Linked DNA regions of Drosophila melanogaster. The gene in region 1 interacts genetically with each later gene. Each region holds a gene or a part of one and is shown on either strand. Other genes may lie near its edges.

Evidence for each region.
Region 2: of ap (region 1) and vg, changing one suppresses a phenotype caused by changing the other (phenotypic suppression), as found in Drosophila melanogaster (3 studies listed by BioGRID).

The regions. Positions count from the first base shown.
Region 1 is NT_033778.4:5,721,789-5,729,819, forward strand, and holds the start of ap (apterous), read right to left. Parts: upstream 5,045-8,031; 5' UTR 4,072-5,044; coding exon 4,033-4,071; intron 1-4,032. UniProt on the Drosophila melanogaster protein: Required for the normal development of the wing and halter imaginal disks.
Region 2 is NT_033778.4:12,882,336-12,888,955, reverse strand, and holds the start of vg (vestigial), read right to left. Parts: upstream 4,756-6,620; 5' UTR 3,645-4,755; intron 2,588-3,644; 5' UTR 1,812-2,587; coding exon 1,716-1,811; intron 1-1,715. Other genes in the region: AspRS (Aspartyl-tRNA synthetase), read right to left, coding at 6,051-6,214, 6,424-6,620. UniProt on the Drosophila melanogaster protein: Involved in determining which thoracic imaginal disk cells will form wings and halteres, perhaps by interacting with other nuclear regulatory proteins.

The sequences.
Region 1 (8,031 bases):
AAAATATTTATTATTTATTTATTATTATTATTTATTTTATTCAATTACTTTTTTTTGTTTTTCGTTCATTTCAAAAGTTTAGACTCTAGAGAAATGTTTGAATTGCATCCGTCAGAGAATATGGTTGTGTGAGTGGAGTAAAAAGCGCTTAGTGCACTAGTATTAACATAATTAAATGAATTTAAAAATTACTTGAAGTTAGAGAAAAATTAAAATTTTAGCTAATGTCTTTACCTCTGCATCTTAAGCAATACAATTTTGTGCGGTAATTTAAAATATTTACATGTTATGCATTTTTGATTTCGTTAAAGTGTATTAACGTATTGTATGAGAGTTTAACGATTTATAATATGGATGGCAAAAGAAAGACCACAAACAAATATCAACATATTTAAATAATTTTAGAATATTTCCTTTCGACTTTGAAAAAAAGAATTCCGTAAGGAAAATTATTAAATAAAAAAAAGAGAGAATGATATAGTTAAGTTTTCCGACTATCAGATGCTCGTTACTCAAAATTTCTAAAAATGGTTCAAAAGTGTGGGCGTTCTAGCTTTTATAGTTCCTGAGATCTCGACGTTCATACGCACTGACGGACTTGGCTAGATCGACTCGGCTATTGATCCTGATCAAGAATATATATACTTTAAAACGCTTACTTGCACCTTTTACATAATTTTCAACGAATATAGTATGCCCTTTTACTCTACGATCAACGGGTATAAAAAATAACAAAATAAAATAAATAATAAAAAAGTACAACTTATTGCTTTTGATCACACTTGTTCTATTTTTGGCGTACTTATATATACTTAGATATCAATGATGACTCGTAAATCCTGGAGGGTATTTTTTTAAAGGCTATTATTATTATTATTGTTGCTATTCGTTTAAAGCTGAGTCATGCAAGCTGATGTTGTTAGGGAAATTAAAATCAGTAGAAAACCTTATATCGGTAGGTATACCTACCGATATAAGCTTGTCTACTGATTTTAATTAATATATATATATATATATATATATATAGTGACGTCCCATACTCAACAAGAAGGGGTACATAAAATGTTTTGATCATATCTCAAATCTATTCAATTAAAGTTTGACTTTAAATATAATTAATCACTGTTTTAGTTAATGTATTTACATTGTTTTAATAGGGATTATATCAAAGTTGAGAATAGTGAAAGTAATAAAATGTAAGGTAACGAAAGTAATTTTTACGACTAACACTTGTTTCATGTTTTATTCGTAGTATTCGTAATAATCGCAAGTAATTGTCAAAAGGACAGAAATAATGGCATTTCCGGAAAGCTATGTGCCCTGCACAACTTGACGATCTGAACAAAGAATTGAGGCTTTTAGGAACACGTTATGGCTGTTTTTATTGTTAGTTATTTTAAAACGGTTCCATCGAAACCAAAACATACAATAGATGTATGTTTTCTGTGCCAATCTATTATAAAACGTTTAGACAATGAGTTGTAACATATTATTCACCTGATGAAGGTTGCTCTGCATAGTGAACCAAATTGCAGATAAGTGGCAAAAAGTACAATATTACAGATACCGAGCTAAACAACTAATATACCACTACAAATATTCAAACAACTTTTAAGCTTATTTGGCCACTCTGTAGACAGAAAGCACTTACTTCAAAAAAATGTCTGTGTTTTTCTAGCTATATCAAATGATACATTTGTAAGTTCCTAATTTGAAGTTCCTAACATTGTCGATCCACAGTCATCAAACAGAGTATATCGGATGTGTACGTATAATAATAATAATACGTTATAATAACGTATAATAATATAATAAGCACCGTTAATGCCTAACATTATTGTAAAATACATTAAAGATCGAAAAAGTTTCTACTATTTTAAAGAATATAAGAATCGCAAACATATGTATGTATATGATACTTAGTGCACTAAAAATATTTTTATTGTGTTAATTTGCCAAGCGCACAATATCAAGCAAATTTCCCCTTGTATTTATTCACATTAAAATTGAGTTTTTGTAGAAAAAATTGAATTGAATTAAAATTGAGTTTTGTAACAAACTTAACAATAGGACTTATTGATGTTTCCGATATTTTGATTACGGGCAAATGACAGCTACAAAAAAATGTATTTGAATTCGTTGTCTATTTCTCGCTATTGGATATCGGTTACTCAGCTAGGCAGACTGCGAAAAATAAATTTCAATTTTTTTGCATATCGAAAGAAATTGGAAAAAAAATTAAGACGAATGATAAGTTAGAAAGGGTGTGTTAAAAATTTTCTTGGTATTACAATACATACATAAAACGGAAATATACCAAAACATTTTCATCAAGATGGGCGTGGCCGCTTTGGGCTGTTTGTGCATGTCAAAGAGTTTTTTGGCAAATCGGTAAAAATTTAAAGACTTATAAAACATGAAAAATATCAAAACATATTTCAAAAGCGTATTTCTTGGCGGTTTAAATTTAAATTTTTGTTCATTTTATTCACCGATATCTAACGATATTCCAGCAAAATGATGAAATGTTGCGTTTTCATTCCCACTAGCTGAGTAACGGGTATCTGATAGTTGGGGAACTCGACTTTTATATATAAAAAGAAATGTACAAAAATAAAAATTTGAAAAAAAAAACTCTAAAATTACTTTTATAAAATTTTTAATAGTCCGAATTTAATCAATTTCGTAACTTGATCGATGTGCCGAATTTATCAGGTAAACACATCATCAACACATTTTCGAATACTTTAGGAAGAAAGAATTTTGAGATATGGGAGTTTGTTTTAGTGGACTTGGAAATACTTTAAAACGGCAGTACAATATGAATGTTCAAGACTAGGTTTCAGCTTTTACAATTCCTAAAACGTTTAAAAGGACGGACGGTTGGACGAATAAAAGAACGGACAGGCGGACATGGCCAGATCAACTCGGCTATTGACCTTAATCAAGGATATCCCTTATAAGGGTCGGTAACCCTTCCATCTGTCTGTTACATACTTTTCAACGAATGTTTCATACCATTTTACTCTTCCAATTTATTTACGATTTTCCTATTCTTATACAATACAATCTTATACAATTCTTGTACAATATATAGATGTGGTATATATAGACTAGAATTCGAATACTCGTACATCTCGATTTACAGTAATCGATGACATTTGGAAAACATACAAAAGATGGGAATTAAAACAAACACACAGATTTCAAACACCAAAGTTGTAAAGTAACAAAAAATTGTTTGCATAAAGTATAAGGAATGCGTTATGTTTCAAAATAGGAATAGCAATTAAAAATGACAAAATCAAAAATAGGTAAAAGATGTTCATGTAACTCATCAAGGCAATTCGTTCTTTTCAAAAAAATGGTACAAGAATATCTCTGTGTGGTAGAAAATGCCTTATTCGCGTTAAAAATTAGTATTTGAAGGTCAATTGACTACTATTAAAATATATCAAATTGGTATATATTGGCACACGGTGATTATTCTCTAAAACTGAATACGTTCGCGTCGAATATCAGATATATACAAAAATTTCGTAAAAACGTACATATTTGTTTTACCTGTATTTTGATTTCTACATATCTATTAATTTTTTTGCACGACTATGCCGCCCAATTTGATTGTATATTGATTAGTACGACTATCATCAAAAATCTGCCTTCTTAAACATTAAATGATTCTAACCTAAGTTAGATGAATAAAAATTAAGGCAGGGAATCACATTGAAATTTTGTAACCGCGTTCTACAGCAATGTTTCAACGAGCGAACTAGCCACTGATTGAACACTTCTGGGAACTGTTTTTAATCTGAAATGCCCAAGCGGCTTTCTTATCGATATTGAGTGGGGCTGTCTGTTGATAGGCAAGCTTTCAGTCTGGTATTGATAACTCCGAGTAACCCAGGCTCGGATCAATATTAATCACAAAGGGCAGAGTTTGGGTGAGCTGGGACGGACTGGTGGATGACTTATTTTTTAGTCTTATCGCTGGTAACTTTGGATTTTATGTGCTACGGCGGCAGAACTTACCCAATGCATCACAGGGCGCTCCTCGGTGCAGACGCCCATGTGCGTCTTTTGGAATGACACGAGGTCTATTTCCAAGGATGATGTCCGTCGGTCGTGTTATGTTTGTCGTTGTGTAGGCTGTGCGTTGTGTCTTGCGAGCCTTATGCCTCCTTAAAAGGGCTGCGGTGCTACGTTGGTCTTGGGTAATCCTCTACACCCCGGCTAGATGTGCTATTGGACACTTGACACTGGCCACGATTAGATGCCCGGCTAGGCTCGCCGGTAATAAGTGTGCGCACAACTTGATCTATTACTTTGCGGACATGCATCACTTCGGCGTTGTCTTAGAGATTGACACCATTGGCTTGCCTTTTCTTATTGCACAAACTACGATTTGAATGCCGCTTTTTTTAAACTTTCTCCTTAGCACCAAGGTAATATAAGGAACATAGGGTCACACACTCACTAAAACACTTGACTCGGCGGCAGGTAGGATATTTGTATTGATTAGAAACCGCCCCTGTATCTCGAGCGCAAAGGCGTTTTCGGACCGCTGACGACCACCGGTTAGCGTAAGAAATCTAAAGTTAATTTATGACATTAATTTACGAGACAGCGCGAGAATGGCACATCAGATCCAAATTGAGTGGTAAAGGTCGGCCTTTGTCGGGCTCTTCCTACGACACTCGACGATGCCTGTTACTGATAAGGCATTAGAGACAGAGGCGCGTATGCGTATGCGGCTGTGCTCCCTTGTGTTGTTGTTTATGACCGGGCAGGCGATTACCGATCCAACTTCAGTTTTGTATCCGTTTCGCCAACTCCCTGTTTCTGTGTCGATTCTCCTTCGATCCAGTTCTGGCAAACCGAAACTACAGCCGAGCTCAAGTCAAAACAAAAATCGAATACGCGCACCGCTTCCAAAAACAAAAACCGACTCAAATTCGAAACTCGACTACCGACTTTGGTCTGCAGCTGATCTACTCAAAATCGTGAGGACAACCAGCCGTCGCAGCTGAAAAACTGGGAATGTTTGGACGCTGTGCGAGCGCAGCGCCAGAAGCCAAAAAACTCCACCGCCCCGTTCGCCGTGTGTTTGCGTGCGTGATGTGCGCGCGCCAGTGTGAGTGAGTGCGATGTCGCGCATGAGCTGCCATCCTGCTTGCACACACGCTCATTCCGCAGCTCTCACGTAGTGGCAAATGGCGGCGCTCTCAGCTGATAGCGTCAGTAGCTCGTTCCCGCTCTAGAGCACAGCCAGTAGACGAAGAGGGCGTGGTGTTCTATCCGCGCTCTCGCACCAGCCGAAATCGCCTCCCCACGCACCGCCCACCGGACAGTTGGCCGGCTGCAAAACGTGAATAAGGCAGCGGTAGCAGCAGTCAGGAGGAGTATAAGCTGTGCGCCAGACGCCACATGAATGAGGATGGACTCCAGACTCGAACTGGAAGCTGCGAGCGGAGTCCGTGACAGGAATTCCAACTCGCAGAGGACGAACAGTGGTCTGAGGACGCACAGGGGAACGAACTCTCACACCAGCGGGTCTTCGGTTGACTCTGCTGATTCTTTAGTTGTGTAATGAAAAGATGCATGGTGTCTATATATGCCGTCTTCATGCTGAAAACATCATGCAGAAAAGTTGTAACTAACTTACTGAGAGCTATTTATTGTGTTTTCGTATGCTGACGCTATAAATGTTGAAAGAATATAGGTTCGTTTGACAGGTGTATTTATAATTCTCAACCAGTTCAAACGCTACCAGCACTACGCCCAAGTTGTCGCCTGCTTCCAATAAGAACTGTCATCATAGAACCTTGCTGTCACTTCTCCTTTAATTCCGCACAAGCTTGAAACAAAGTGCACACAAATCTCCAAATGGCTTAGGGAGCAGATTTAACGTTAAATACTTTTATTGCAGTTACAGCTATAAATATTCAGCTTTTGTGGTATGCATTCACTATGATTCCACAAATGTTTGACATTTTGAGTGTTTTGCCGGTTGTAACTTACATATATTTGGCAAGTTTTGGTTGAGGTTACGGTTACATTTTAATAATGTAAAATATTTGCCATTAACTGCAATGCATTTTCAGAATTTCAACCAGCTTACGTTGATTCAATCGTTGAAAAAGAAATTTTTTTAAGTGTAATTGTTAATATACTTCTGCTGTTACATACATAAGTTCGCCGCTGCTTTTTGAACTCTTCGCAGAAAGTTTTAAAACATGTATTACGTATTTGAAATGTTTGTGCGACTTAGCCTTCGCATTTAACTTTATTTTTGGGCAAAATGTTTCACCTCGTTGTTGCTATTGTTGCTTGTTGACTTAAGAGGGCTTTCAAAGAACCCCGGTTAAGTCGGAACTGATTGGGTGGATTGGTTGTGGACGTCGGCACAGATTTTGGGTCCTTATTCCTTACGAATATACACAGCTGAATTCTCATGATTTTAATATTGACAAGAGTAAATGCGAATACATGCAGTATTTTCAGACCATTATAATTGGTACAGTGCCTCATAATAATTTGTTTATAGATTCTTTTAAATTTTACATCTTTTTTTATTGTAAACAGGCCCATCTTACAAAAGTGCGTAAAATATACTAATACATTATAAGAGATGGGCACATAAGGACAAAATAACGGTAACAGTAATCATTGGTAAAACATTGGTGTATAAACCGATTTGATCTTTAATAATTGTAGATTTATGTATAATAAACGTTAATCATGTTATGTGATTATTAGAAAATATAACCATCTCATCCCTCTGTTAGAATTCTACTCTACAATACGTAATAAGGGTATACTGAATTCGTGGCAGTTAAGTTTTCTTTAGTCAACATCTAACGAAATACTAAAAATATGTAGTTCGAGTCACTCCGATACTTTTGAAGTTTTTAGATACCATAAATATAATAAGTGGTAAGTGTAAAAGAAGGGGGCAGGAACCTGTCTCCCTCGAAGTTAATTTGGCTAAGTAAGGGATATCTAATAGACGACGAACTCGACTATAAAAAAAAATTATAATACTTACTTGAATAAAAATAATATTATAAATTATCCTTTCGAAAGAGTCAAGAATGGCACTCCAAAATACAGCTTAGTAATAAAAAAAAAAAAACACCATGACGGATAGCTACCAGAGGCAACCTAGCCAATTAAGAATTTTTTTTTTTGTCAAAAATTGTCAATCCGTACTTCACAGATGTTTTAAAACTGAATATTCCCTTAATAACTCATATTTAAAATTTCAAAATTGGGTATCCTACGACGTCATGGGCGATATTTCAATTTTCTCAAACACAGTAAAATAATAGAATATTTTACAAATAAAATGTATGTACCTACAAATATAATCCTCATTTCTTGGGTATATTGTTTTTTCTGACTAATGACAGAGCGCATTGACCCAAGCTGACAAATATTTTAGCTTACAAATTAAAAAAATTTTTAATTGTTGCATCGCTGGGGTTTTGCTAATAGAATTTTCGAGGCCGCAGAGAAACTAAGCTCTCTGCCTCCATATGGGGCAGACAGAAAGAAGTAGGGACAGATGGACGTGTTAAATGATCTCGGATTTTGAAAGTGATCATGATATATAAACTTGCTAAGTTGCTAAGTATCATTCTACCCGTTATATGCTTTACAAATACCTTTTCTTCTAAGCCAATTCTTAGTTTCAAGGATAAACAAGAGAGAATGCTCTAGTCGGCTAGTGAGAATGCGAACGGGGAATTTCATAATTTAGCTGGGATACCGACAGATATTTGTGAATTAAAGCTCCCTTCTACCTGTTACATACTTTTCAATAAACACAATATACCCCTTTCCTGTAAAATAACGGGCATAACTAGAGTCAAGACATGTATATGATACAACTTACAGATAATGATATTTCAAGTGCCTCGACTATTGGATAATAAAACAGATAAAAGCAGATTAAATTAATTATTTATTAATTATTAATAATTTCAAAAAACTCTTTGGGCTACCGATAGAAGTTAGCAAGATAAGTAA
Region 2 (6,620 bases), 7.2 Mb from region 1:
AAATCACAGCGAAATCTTCGAAATCAATGTTAGCAAAAAGCGGGAGAGGCGAAACAAAGCCAACATTGAGTTGCGGAATTCCTTGAAATGTTGCCCCTTTAGTTTGGCAACTTCTCTTTTTTTCGGTTCTTTATTGTTTCGGGTTTCCCAAATCGATTTGCGTTCTGCGTGAATTCTTATGATTTGTTAGAAGCGTCTAATTATTCAGGCTCCAAGCCCGTTCAAACAAATTGACGCAGCCAACAACACAGTAGCTTTCGGTTGGCCTTGGCCAAAAGTGCAAAGAGGTATCCATCAATCAGCGGTGGCCAAGTGACTCATCCTCGGTGCTTTCCCTTCTTAAAGTGCTTCTCCAACTTGTTCTTCGTACGCTCGTTTGGTTAAAAGGAGACGAACGAACAAGAGTCTTAACAAAACGTTTTCTGATTTTCCTTATGGCCACTCTGTGTTTATGCAAAGCGAGCCACTTTGTGCTGGCCAACAGAAACTTGCGTTGCACAAATGGGATTCCAGTTTTGAATTGCGCTTTCACAAAGAGCCTTCACTCCTTAAATTTATTTTTTGCAATTACAAATGTGAGCATAAACGCAAGAAATACAAGATATAAGTATTTAAGAACGCTGCTTCTTTTAACTCTTATTGTACTAAATCATCTAGTTCCTTTTTAAAAGTTGTTTTGTGTAACTGAAAATTTCCCTATTTAGCTTTGACTAATTAAAATTCTAAGCAAGTTATTCAATTCCTTCTGTTTTACAGACGAGATTTCTTATCATTTCAAGCAATGGTATTACCTAAAAAAAAAACAGTTAACTTGGACTTACAAAAAGTATAGACAATTGTAAGTTTGGAAATTTTTAACACCTTGCTACGTGCGTTAGCCACAAAAACCGCAACGCCTTAAACTCAAAAATTCGCTAGCCAAAAATGTCCAAGATACAAATTTGGTCACCAACACTTTTGCTGCTCGGTTTTAGCTTATTTCTCTGATATTTTATGAAATTAGTGAGTAATTAGTACTTAATAGATCTAATAAGTTAAATAATCTCAAATTGTTGCTATTTCTGTTAGTTAACCTTTGTTGTTTTACTATCTATTTAATTCTTTTTCTTCATAAATTATTTCAAATTTCTAATTTAAAATCCTTAATTTATTACTTATGCAAAGAGAAATTGTGATTGCCACTACAGAGATTTCGCTGAGATTTTGATTAATTGAATGGTATTCCTGAGTGTAAACAAACCAATAATAAACCAATCTAATAAACGATAAACTATTTTTCGAGCATTAACTATTGAACTGAACAAGTAAAACTTGTCTGACTAAAATTCCATATTTTTTGTGACCACATCCACGTGACTATCAATATTTATTTAATGGTGCTATTGAATTCCGACTATAAGTTTAATATCCATTTTTTAAAAGCAGCCTACGTTCAAAAAGGTTACTAAATAACTATTCTTCTTCTGCTTGTAAAAGTGTTAATTATAAATATTTTACTGACTGCTTGGAGTTTAAGCCAAGTACATGCCAAGTCAAATCAATCTAATCTTTAAAATGCGATGTTTTTAAAGTAATATTGCTTTGAAAGCAATTTTGTTCGCTCGAGGAGTTAGCCGAATGCAGTTGTTTTGGCCTGATTACCCGGCCAAATATTCAAAGTTCGGAAGGCAAAATCGAATCGCATCGAATCGAATCGATAGGTTTGCGGTACTCACCCTCTCATACTGGTAGAACGATCGACTTGTTCCAGCGCGCCCGTACAGATATGGATAGTAGGCACCGTACATAACTTCGGGGCAGGACACTGCCATTGTCGCAGTGGCAAGCGCACTTGCAACTGCAACTGCCACTCACTGCCACACACACACTGGCACTGGCACTGGCACTCACACTGGCTCACTGCTTTTGCGGTTTAGCGATGGATGGTAGTTAAATTGGTATTGTCACTTGAGCGGGGAGGGAATTGTGATGCCAATACGCGTGGTTCCAATTGGATTCGTAATCGTATCGGGGGTTTGAAATTGAATGCTCTCTCTGAAGAGAGGGAGATAGATATATAGATAGAGAGCGCGCGGGGAGGGAAGGGGGCTAAAACTTGGAGTAATTATAAAACCGGCTTTCAAGTCAAGGCGTGTTTTGTTGTTTTTGTTGTATTTTTTCTGCAGCAGTTGTAGTATTTATTTCTTTTGTTGGCTGGCAAAATTCCTGGAATGAAAACTCCGCTCGGCTAATTATATTTACATATTGTAAAACACCATCGCGTTTGTATCAGCAGCTATAATTGCTTTTTGTCTGTTTTTTGTTTACGTTTTTTGTTGTTTTTCGCAAACTTCTTTCTATGCATTTGCCATTCCCGTTCGTGGGTAATTTCCTTTTCTTTTCGACTCAGTTTCCTCCCCTCGTCGCTCTTCGACTTTCTTCACTTGCTTCTTTCTTCTTTGTTTGCTTGTGCAGGCAATTGCAATTATCATTTCCACATTGTTGATTGCTGTTAGTCGTTGTTTTCTATTTTTTCAGTTTTTTTTTCCCTTTGGCGTTGGAACGTCAATTTCGTTTCTCATCCGCGTTTCCGACGAAGAATTGCCAACTGGAAGGAAAATGGAGAAAAGTGCAGGAGAAGGCATTAACAATTTGCTAATTGTGGTAAGAAATTCAAAGCTGATGAGCCAATTTCTGGCATTTATGTTAAAACCGACTTTAATGATGTGACTATTTGAACCGTAAATGTCTGTTGAAAAGCAATTGCATGTAAACAAAGCATCATCAAGTTTCAAAATGGCTATAGAAAACCACAAACGAATGCTTTCACAGCTAAAGTAATTATGATCAAAATAAAAACCAATAAACTGGCACATAAACGGTTTTATAGACGAAGTGAATTAAAACTTGTTAAAGATATCCGTCGGAAAATAAGGAATTACTTTAAAAGTCTTTGAAGTTAATTCTTTAATTCTTGGCTTTAGCTTTTAGAAATATCTTGAATTAGGTCGCAAATTAATATGCTAAGCTTTTTTGTAGAATGGAAATAAATAATCGTTGCAACTATTGATTGATACAATAACAGCAGCAGCGAATGCCAAACGTTGAACAAACTATTGCATTGAACACAGTAAAAGCTATTGAAATGAAAATATAGCTAAGGTCCGACGGCAATAGGAATCATTTTTAAATAAACCTCCGTCGGGACATGAAAACACAAAATTTACATTTTAAAAGCTATCTGTCACAAAAAATATTCGTAATTTAATGAATAATCCTATAAATTATATCTGTGCTTCTACTACTGCTATTACATATTATCCCAATTTAATTGGAAAATAACTATAGCTCCATAATGTTCCCGTTACAAAAAACTTAAGCTATTTAACAACCTTTTTTTAATCCTTAACTGTTCAGAGCTTTTCACGTTGTACCTTTTTACAATTCAATTAAAAAGTATAGGAACAATATAACCAATTAAGTGGAATTAATAAATTAACCTTATGATGTAAGGTACAAACATCAATTTCAGACGTTTAGCCTAATATGCATAATAAAATTAAATGCAAATCGATAAATTAGGCAAATTATGATAATTATAATGACACCAGAAGGAAAACGACTGCGGTCCAATTTGACATTTCATTTATCGAACCCGCACTTACCACTTGAATGTTTTTAGTGTAATCCAATAAGATGTTCAGTGTTGCTTGCGTAAATCAACTCAATTCTCGTTACAGTGCACTTTTTGCAAAATATTCAACAATTTCACATCTCTTGACAAGGTAAAACTTGACTTAATTTTCGTTTGATCGTTTTGTTGTTGTTGTTAATTTGAATAGTAATTAAAGTGATACGCGCTGGGGAATTCGCACGTGAATTCTTGAGATTTTGGCGCAGCGGCTTCTGCGATTATTTTTAACCGAAAACGAGCAGCAAACATTTGGTCGGCGCACTCAATGAAAATATTTTCGCTAAATCCACAAAATGCCGAATTCCATAAATTCTTGGCGGCCCGATTGTGCGAGAGCGAGTGAGAGAGAGGGCGATAGCCAGCGAGCGAAAATGAGATGGAGAACGGCACTATTTTGGCAATTGCAGCATCCGCGGAAATCTCTATTTCTATAATTATTATTCTGCTTTGCGATGTGGCACTTGGAAAACAAATGAACTGCACTTGCCGCGATCACTCACTAGGATTTTGGTTTTGTTTCGTTTTAATTTTACGATATTCTCGTTTACGCTGAAATCGAAAATCCGAAATCGAAAATCCCGCGCGGCGGTGAGAGAAAAACACGGAGAGCTCCGGCTGCCGCTCAATCGGAAGAGAAAAAACAAACTGGCAAAAGGAGCGGTAAATCCAATGCATTTGCGGGCAGCGCGACGGCAGCGCAGTCGCCGCGGCATTGAAAACAAAATGGCAATTTCTTGTATCGGGCCATCTCTCTCGCACGGCAGTCATTGGACCGCGGTGGGAGCGGGACAACTAGTGTGCTGCAGTTGCCAAGCACCGCCCACTTGATTGCTGCCGCATTCAGCGTTGTATTGTTGTTTCCAGGTTTCCAACTAACGATGCCACATCGGTGTGAAAATAAAATGGAGTGCGTCTCAATTGTGTCCTCAAGTAGACGAAACTCCTGCTGTTTCTCTCTGATTTTAAAGTTCGACAAACAGATTGAAAGGAATTCGCATTCATCCGGGGCCTTCTACTTCGTCCTTTTGTTCCTTTCCTTGCCTTTCCGCAATGAAAAGTATGCGCCAACTGTGTCAACAGTGTTTGCAGTGCCCCCGCAATCCTTGTTTTCCAGTCCCCTTCCAAGCCCCAAGCCCTCCTCAACCGCGAAGTTTCCGTATTGATAATAATCTGATTGCAAATGAATACAATTTATTGTGCTGTTCATTCGCCTTCATTTCGCCGCGGATTGTTGACAAGGTGTGGATGCTTATAAGTGAAAGACGGTCTACTACACCTTTAATTGTTAGATTTCTGATAGGAACGTGTAAAAAAAGCTGAAAAATCTGTGGATAATATAAAAATGGAATACATCAAGTCGGCATGGAAAATAGCCCTACTACAGAGCATATAGGATCTAAACTTATGTTTTCATTTACAAATTCCAGGAAAGTCGGAACACAAAGTTTGGTTTTAGTGACAGCTAATATGATTTGATTACTGGTTATACCGATTTGGCTAAATATCGAAATTTGTTTTAATACGCAGAAAGTTGTTTAAGCAATGTTGCATAAAATGTTGTGGGAAACTTCTATAACTACGGAGAAAGCTAGAAAAAAAACCATGTTTATGTGGGAGTTTAACCTGAGAAAGAAGTTTCCAGATAAAGAAGACATGGCCGACGGGACTTCGAGCGGTGATTATTTAAGGGATTCTCAAAGTAGTTAAGGTAGTCAGTCTTATAGATGGTCACCAAGAAAACTATAATGGTTATTACACAGCCTGCATCAAAAACTAAATTTCTAAATTCTAATGCCAGATAATAATAATATCTTTTATTTATTTTGAAAATGATGAGAATATTAATCTCTTATACTACAATCCAATTAGACAAATCAAAAGTAGTGAACTGTTTTTACTTAAGGCTTTTAATAAAATTGGTCTGGTTTCAACCTTTTGAATAAAACATTAAGAAAACTCTTTGACCAGGTGCATATTGATAAGCTATGAGAACAAATGTGGCCTTTCTACAGACCCTAAAAGTATGCAACAAAAATATAATATTCTAGCTACACGTTAGCTTATATATTTTACCCACTTAAAAATAACCAACCAAAATATTAAAAGCAATTATTAAAGTACAAAACATACGCGCAAGTATTTATTTCTTACGAGTTTCCAAATAAATTTGACTCTAGGCAGTCTTCCCGTACATTTTTCTCGTTGTTTAACAACTTTGCAGCATGTTAGTCTTGAGAAGAAGGATAAAACACTCACGATTGGGTTTGGCGTAAAAATAAAAAGAACTGAATGCTTGGAAAGTCACAGGGAAAGTAAAACAATTGTTTCATCGAATTGTATTCAAATCTAAAGAGTACGTTGTTTGAGTCTATCGTGCTTAAGGCGTTAATCGTTTGGGATCGCGCGGGAACATGGAAGTCTTGCGGATGTTGTCCAATCCCAGATACAGCATCACCACACGCTCCATTCCAATGCCACCACCAGCATGTGGAGGACATCCATAGCGGAAGGACTCGATGTACGCCGCAATCTTGGAGGTATCTAGAAAACAAATATATACGGCGTTAATATTAAGTATTAATAGAGTAGATAAGTTTCAACTTCTTATCTGAAATGGGTTACAGTCTTATATAAGCACTTGAGCTATGCATTTATATTATTCTCTTATTGCAGTCTTATCATTGTTTACCGAGAGATCTTGTGACTAAGCTGACCTTACGAGTTATTTACTACGTGTAGGGGGTACTCACCAATGCCATGGTGCTTGGCTCGTTCGATTAAGTACTCGGGATCGTGGATACGCTGCGCGCCGGACAGGATCTCCTCGCCGCGCATGAACATATCGTAAGAGTTGGAGTAGACCGGATTGTTTGGATCAGGCATCGTGTAGAAGGGCCGTATCGCTAACGGGAACTTGTCAAGGATGTAGAAGTCAGTGTCGTACTTG